Cricetulus griseus: one gene and its partner. The protein of the gene in region 2 interacts with the protein of the main gene of each other region in a pairwise test. Links are inferred from orthologs where the notes say so. Each region holds a gene or a part of one and is shown on either strand. Other genes may lie near its edges. The genes, in order: Hid1 and Csde1.

Region 1 (4,255 bases), on a different chromosome or scaffold from region 2:
GTGTGTGTGTGTGTGTGTGTGTGTGCGCGCATGTACATGCATGAGGGTGCCCACAGAGACCAGAAGGTGTTGGATCTCCCAGAGCTGGAGTCATAGATAGTTGTGAGCCACCCATATGGGTGCTGTGAACCACTCTTCATCTGAAAGATTAACAAGCCCTCTTAACCACTGAGACATCTCTCCAGCCCCCCAGTTGTGGCTTTTAACAGTCTCCTTCTGGAGTGGGTGTGGCAGGGGGCAAAACCAGCTGTGATCTAGCCTGATGAGGATGATCTGTCCTGACAGGTGATCAAAACACCCTAGGCACACGTGTGCGTGCATGTGAACGAATGTGCATGTGAACCTATCAGCTCTTACCCTGGCCTGTAGCACAGCACCCTCAAATAGGCAGGATCTGGGGGGAGGGGTGTCTCTGAACCTGCTAATGTCCCACCCTGGGGCTCCAGCCAAGTAAGGAGACAGGAAACACAACCAATGTTGCTGGCCTCAGAGTTAGGGTTAAGCCCAGCCCAGGGCTGGCCAACAGGGCAGGAAATAAAACAGGATGCGGGGCGGAAAGCAGGGAAGGTTGACCTGCAAGGGCCCAGGCCCCAGCTTCAGAAGAGTCCACTCATTCAATGCCCAAAGCACAGTCTCTGAGGGTCTAGAAGTGAGGTCATCCTGTGGTCAACACACCTGAAGCACCTTGGGGACACTGAGTGAAGGTCCAGGAAGACCACCTTAGACTCTTGAATCTCAGCTGCCCAAAGCTGATCACTACAAAGAGTCCAAGGCTTTGACCCTCTCCCACCTGTGAGAGGTCCCATGCTTACAAAAAAGCCCATGGGTAGGTGAAATGGCTCATGGTAAAAACTCTTGGTAAAGGCTCTTGGTAAAAACACTTGGTAAAGACACTTTCTGCTTGCTGATATGCAAGCCTAATAACCTAAATTCAATCCTTAGGATCCACAGAGTGGAAGAAGAGAGCTGACTCCTACAGGTTATCCTCCACACATAGGCCTTGGTGCACACACACACACACACACACACACACACACACACACACACACACGCTCGGGCACACACACACACACACCCCAAAAATAAATAATATAAATTGAAGAGGAGGAGGAGGAAGGGGTGAGAGAGGAGGAGGAGGAAGAGGAGGGAAAGGAGAAGGGAAGGGGTGGGGAGACGGGGAGTAGCCCAGGCCAGGTCTTCAGCCTACTCTAGGCCCTGGTCCACGCAACTAAGTGTCTTCAGCTAAGGATGACAGACCATCTCAGCCAGGAAAAGAGACTCGGATGCAGTATTCAGGGGAGATTGCCAAAGCAGCGGCACTGCCCACCTTCTAGATCAGTCTGAGTTCATCCTGCTCCCCAAAGACCTGCTGCGCCTACCACACCTTCCAGCAAGGCAGTAAACATGGAAGACACCCTCCTCCCTCCCTGTCACCCTATACTGTGTGAGGTGCCCCAAACCACCCTTTTCTGCTGCCCACAGACCTAGAGTCTCATCTTTGGGGTTCTGGAACAAGTCATGGGAGCAAAGAGAAGTTCTGGTTTTCATCAAGTGCCTCTCGGCTGGAAATGCCTCTCTGGACAGAAGCCCTGGCAGACCTTCCCAAGGTGGGCAGCCGAGTATGGGAGGGAGTAGAGCTCTGCCCGCTGAGGCTGTGACTGGCTGGCTGTGGGAAGATGGCTCTCCTGATCCCACTCAAACCGGCCAAGAACAATATAGAGCTCTGAGAACAGCGGGATGGGGGTGGGGTTCCAGATGGTAGTAGGTCCAGAGCCCTTTGACAGTCAGCCCCCCCCCCGCCCCGGAGAGACATGGCTGGGTAGCTCCTGATCAGAGTAGCTTGGTCCCAGCAATAAGGAGAGAGAGGAGGGCAAGGGAGGAACCTATCCGTGTCAAGAGGTGTGTGTGCTTGAGATAGGGGGTGGCTTCTGTGACACTTGTGGACTCAGGGGGAAAGGTAGGAGCATGGACTGAGCTGAAGGTACCTATGGCTCCCTCTGCAACAGACTAAAGGCAGTCTGGGAGTCCCTCCTCATACCTGAACCCGGAATCCCCGAATCCCCATTTCGGGGACCAGAATGCACAGCCAATCAGCTCCATCGGGCCCGGAGAAGCCCCTGGAGCATCCCTAGCTGGGAAGCTGGTTTCCCTAGGCCCGAGGACAGCTCCTCTTACTCGGCTGCCGCCGCCAGCCACTCTGTGAGCTCCCAGGAAGACCTGGGCCTTCCCTGCCCGCAGGCATCAACCAGGGCCCAGAGAGGCCGCCGCTGCCACCGCACACCAGCTGTTTTCCCCGAGCCCGGCAGGCGCCGGCCCGGCTTTGTTTGCATTGAGTCAGCCCGGGCTGTGCGTCCGGGATCGTGGGCACTGAGGGCAGGAAGGAGAGCCGGGCGATGGATGGGTAGGTGGGAGCGGGATGAGGCTGGCTATGCGGGGCTGCGGGCACTGGGGAGGGCGGGACGGGGGGCGGATAGCGTTGTCGCCGCCGGCTTCGGGAGTAGGCACACGTCAGCCTAAGGTGGCAGCCGCAGCGCCCGGGAGAGTGCTCCCAGGGGAGAGCAGGCTTAGGGTGGGCTCCCAGAGGTAGAGATGGAGCCCTGCGGAGCAGAGGGAAGATCCCGTCCCGGTGCTGGTCTCAGCATCCCCCTCCCGTAGGGATTAGCGGGTCACCCTACGCTCGCTCGAGTGAGGCAAGTTCACCCAGCCCCCGTCACTGCCCTGCCCTGCCCCCAAGCCCCGCAGGTGGATGAAGAGGCTGGGCCCCCGGGCGCACCTGCGTCTTGGTGGTCAGCTGGATCACCGCCTTCCGGAAGTTCAGCTTGGAGTCTGCGGACCCCATGTCGATGGAGCCCGCTCCGGCCCAGCCCCGGGTTCCGACTCCGCCGCGGACTCGGGCTCCGGCTCTAGCTCCAGCTCGGCGGCCCCAGCTGCTCTCGGAGGAGCGGAGGAGCGGAGCGGAGCTGCGAACCCCGCCCGCCGCCGGCGTCGGCCCCGCCCCCTGCGGCCCCGCCCTTAGACCCGCCCCCAGAGGCCCCGCCTCTGCACCTGCCGTTCAGGCCTCCAGAGAAGCGGTGGTCCAGAGTTCTCAGTGGAACCCAACTGCTGGTCCTACTGAACTACAATCGAGTGTTGTCCCATTCCATCTCCCGCTTCTGTCACTCAGTCTCCAAGATCAAAATCCCCCGGACATCGCACCCCCTGCCTCCATTTAGAGTCTTTATTCCCGCTCCGCCCCAGGGCTTGCAGTTTCTCCTCCAGCCATCTCTCTCTGACTTTCCTGTTTCCCTATTATTGTTGCTGTTGGAGCCTTTTCTTTTCTTTTTTTTTTTTTTCCTTTTTGGATTTTTTTGTTTGTTTCTCTTTCTGACCTGTCCAACCCATAGGTACCCCAGCAGTTATTCTAACCACACTGCGGTCTCAGCCCTAACTTGTGTGGAGGGTCTGACTCAGTGTCTCTCTTCCAGGAAGGTAGCTGAGCACCTAGCTGGCAACAAACGATGCCTCCTCGGGTCTTGACCCCTCTCTGGTCCCCTGGCTTCCCTGGGAACTCCTTGAAGTGCAGAGGAGCAGGCAGACAACACTGTCTCTGCAGGACCACATCACAGAACCTGCTCTTAGGAGAATAAAGGAGTTACTCACGGTGTAGCCCAGTACACTTTGCTTTGGGAGTTTATCTTAGACTGGCCTCAAGCTCACTGTTAGTGATTTTGAACTTTTAATCCATTTCTCCAAGTGTCAGGATAACAAGTGTGCACAACCAACATTGATCTTATGAGGTGCTGGAGATCGAACCCAGGGCCTTGTGCATGCTAGGCAAGCACTCTAATCTTAAATTAAGGATAATGGCTGGATACATCATCATCATAATAATAATAATAGCTAGCATGCACCTGAAATCTCAGAACTCAGGAGGTGAAGACAGGAGAAGCAGAAGCCCCAGTCATCCTTGGTACATAGTGAGTTTGAGACCAGCCTTGGAAAAAGAAAGTCAAGTCCAGATCCCCTCACCCGCAAGAAAGTGGTGTTTAGTCTACATAGCAAGCCAGGACAGCTAGAGCTATGTAGAAAAAAAAAGTGGTATTTTCACACACCATCATCCTACTGTGTCCGAAAGCTCCTGGGAATCCTGGATACTTCAAAACAAGGTGACTTTATCCCAAACAGGAATCCTAAAGTTGGAGCAGGTGCAGAAGCAGGGAGAGGGGCACAGTGTCACCCCTTCACAGAACATGCCACAGCACTGGGTAGCTCTAGC
Region 2 (3,812 bases):
TCATGGCTGGAAATGAAATACTTGATTTAATTTTTGATAAAAACTGAAAAGGCTCAGTGATCATAGATTGAGGAGGCAGTTCTGAGTGAAGTCAGGCATACCTTTTATTTCATGTGTTTTACCTTGTATTATTTAGAGAGTCCTGGAATAAATTCCTGGATTTCCGAGCTCTGTAGCTAATTCTTTCTTACCTTTTTATAACTTGTTAGTGGCCGGGCAGTGGTGGCGCACACCTCTGATCCCAGCACTCCAGAGGCAGAGGCAGGCTGATCTCTTTTGAGTTCGAGACCAGCCTGATCTACAAGAGCTAATTCCAGGACAGTCTCCAGAGCTACACAGGGAAATCCTGTCTTGGGGGAAAAAAGCCAAATAAAAATAATTATAATAATTTGTCAGTGTTCTTGAGGATATTTATTTGTATTTTATTTATTTATTTATTTATTTTAGGAGGCGGAAGATGGCATTATTGCTTATGATGACTGTGGGGTGAAACTGACTATTGCTTTTCAAGCCAAGGATGTGGAAGGATCTACTTCTCCTCAAATAGGAGATAAGGCAAGAAAATTCAAGTTCGTGATTGTCATCTTGATCATAAAGCCTGATGGATACTTTAAATTTTGTTGAGCTTGGATGAAGTATTTTTGCACTTGAAAGGTTAAATACGTAATTAAAACAGGGTCTTGTGAGCTTCTAAAACATAGTGATGAATACTAGGTTTTTTAGCATGAGCTTTTTTTTTTTTTTTTTTTTTTTCTTCCTCCCTTCCACTACAGGGTTTCTCTGTGTAACATCTTTGGCTTCCTGGAGCTCACTCTATAGACCAGGCTAGCCTTGAACTTACAGAGACCCACCTACTTTTGCCAACCGAGTGCTGGGATTAAAGGGGTGCATCACCACTGCCTGGTAGCATGAGCTAATTTTAGAGACAGGTGAGGTGAATACACCTGTAACTCTAGCACTCAATAAATAGGCAAGGTGCACAACCATTCAATACAGTTAAATATTTCCACAAGAAAGCTTAAAGCACTTATGAAATGGAGCCAGCATAAAATTATGCCAAAGGTTTATATTGCCTGCTTTTTTAGACATCCTTCTTTTAGAGAGATTAATACTATAAAAAGTTGAGGGACAAAACTTAATCCTTTATGAAAAATAAGTTTTGATGTCTAGTATTTTCTGGAAATTATTAAAGTAATTACGAAAGAGGTCTGAAGTAAAAAACATGGTGTTGGGGTTTTCTGGGTTTCCTTTTTAGAGTTACAGAACTTGATGTGGAACTGATGGTGATGCTAATTATCACTTTTTTTTTGTAGGTTGAATTTAGTATTAGTGACAAACAGAGGCCTGGACAGCAGATTGCAACTTGTGTGAGACTTTTAGGTCGTAATTCTAACTCCAAAAGGCTCTTGGGTTATGTGGCAACTCTGAAAGATAATTTTGGATTTATTGAAACAGCTAATCATGATAAGGAAATATTTTTCCATTATAGGTAAGGAATGCCTTTTAGGTAGCATACTATTCATATTTTGCATTAGTTTTCAAAAATTTAATCAGAAACTTTTTGGAAATTACAGTTTTTGAGACCCAATTTTCCTATTTGTAATTATGGCAAGATGTATACAGAAGTTAGTCATCTGCCAAAAAAATAAATAATACACTTAACCGGCCTTTTTATATTTCTTAAATAAAAGAATATGCTTTGTTGTAAATATTGGTACCAGAGTGATGTGATTTCATATACAGTTATAGCATATACTGTAAAGTGTGAGTTCTTTGAATCAGAACCAGATATTTTAGTTTTGATTCAGATTCTGCCACTTAAATACATAAGTTACTTCCATCAAATGAATTAATTTCTTTGTTTCTTTTCATTACCTTGAAGCCAGAGATATAGGGTACCTCATTTAATGGGGTCTTTTGTTTGTTTGTTTAAGCATTTAATGAATCAATTCCTTAGAACAGTGTTCAGTGTAAGCAGAGTTGTTATGAATGTTAGAAAGAGTAAAGGCTACTTGATGCTGTTGATGTCACTGTTTTCCTTTCCCTTTAGTGAGTTCTCTGGTGATGTTGATAGCCTGGAACTGGGAGATATGGTTGAATACAGCTTGTCCAAAGGCAAAGGCAATAAAGTCAGTGCTGAGAAAGTAAACAAAACTCATTCAGGTAATGAATTGTGATTCCTTATTCATCCTATGCTTTGATTGGAAGATAGTAGATAGGGTAGGAGAAGAGGATAAGATAAGATTTGCTCTCTGGTGCCAGATCAGCAGTATACCTTGGCTGTTTGTCAAGAAGACATCCATGTTCTTAACCCCTGTCTTAGGTTTCTAAAATTCTGGACATGACAATCTGTTTTATCAAGTTTTTGGTGATTTGGGTAACATTAAAGATGGTATTTCGAATTTGGGGACTGTAGGAATTTAGAACAGGGTCTCTCTCTAACTGTGGCTAGCCTAGAACTGGCTGTGTTGATCAGGCTGGGCTCAAACTCAGAGAACCACTGGCTGTAGCTCCCTAGTATGTGTGCCACTATGCCTGGATTGTATCTGATTTTGCAGTGGGATGGGGAACTAATGCGGTTCTGATAATTTTTAGAATTGTATTAAATGCCTTTTTTGTTTTTAAGCACCCTGCTTTTTTTTTTTTTAATCTCAGAAATGTATTTTACATTCTCTCTATAAATACATCTTAATGCTTTTAGGAAAATATGCATTGTCTTGGTAGACTACTTTGGTGAATCGTAGGTCTAAATGTGAAAAATGAAGACAATCTTAGCCGTTTTGGGGGAGTGTTTATTCATGTTGGGAGTGGAGCCCAGGGTCTAGTACTTGACAGATACAGCTTTGGCATTTTCTATTTTTACATAGCCTCAACACCATTTTGGCTTTCTTTATCTAAATGCCTCAAATAATACTTTACCTTGAATCCTAGATATAGGACAGCTAAGACCATCCATTTTGATTCCACAGAAACCTAAGTACACAATGTGTTTGATGCCATAGAGATATAGTTGTGAGGAAACCAGACAAGTCCTGATTTTTTTTATGCTTTTTTTTTTTTCTTTATTTAGGTGGGGGATAGAAAATAGAAGTAACAATAACAAATTTTTATCTGTTTGTTGGTTGGGTCGTTTTACATGGCAGGGTTTGTCTGTGTAGCCCTGACTATCCTGGAACTCACAGAGATCCAGATCCAGCTGCTTCTGCCTTGTGAGTGCTGGGATTAAAGATGTGTGGCAACATGTCAGGCTCAGAAAACATCTTTAAATATGAGTGTCTGTTATGCCAAACTCAGGCTTTTTTTTTTTTTTTTCCTCCTCCGTTTTTCGAGACAGGGTTTCTCTGTGGTTTTGGAGTCTATCCTGGAACTAGCTCTTGTAGACCAAGCTGGTCTAGAACTCACAGAGATCCACCTGCCTCTGCCTCCTGAGTGCTGGGACTAAAGGCATGCGCCACCACTTACCTGGCTTAAACTCAGGCATCTTTAATGGCATTTTAGAAGCATTTATGGTTAAGTAATTATTCAAGAAATAGAACTGGCCTCAGACTCCCTATAATCTCAACTGGGTAAGATCTTGAGTTCTAAATCAGCCTAAGCTGCATAGTAAGATGTATGGGTGTGCATGTGGGTGTCTAGGCATGGAAGAGGTGGGGGAATGGGATGGAGAGAGGATTAACTGGTTGAAACCTATATGCATAATAATGTATTTTCTTTCAAAGGACCTAAATTCCCAGCTCCTACCTCAGGTAGCTCACATACAGTTCTCTATAAACCAGCTCCAGATCTGATGCCCTCTTAACATACTGGATACT

Evidence for each region.
Region 1: the proteins of Csde1 (region 2) and Hid1 interact in binary tests that used the Homo sapiens proteins (3 or more experiments, as listed by UniProt). The two-hybrid records come from large-scale screens. The link is inferred for Cricetulus griseus from reciprocal best matches to the Homo sapiens genes CSDE1 and HID1.

The regions. Positions count from the first base shown.
Region 1 is NC_048600.1:127,974,094-127,978,348, forward strand, and holds the start of Hid1 (protein HID1), read right to left. Parts: upstream 2,969-4,255; 5' UTR 2,840-2,968; coding exon 2,774-2,839; intron 1-2,773. UniProt on the Homo sapiens protein: May play an important role in the development of cancers in a broad range of tissues.
Region 2 is NW_023276806.1:53,919,273-53,923,084, reverse strand, and holds part of Csde1 (cold shock domain-containing protein E1), read left to right. Parts: intron 1-447; coding exon 448-555; intron 556-1,313; coding exon 1,314-1,489; intron 1,490-2,050; coding exon 2,051-2,163; intron 2,164-3,812. UniProt on the Homo sapiens protein: RNA-binding protein involved in translationally coupled mRNA turnover.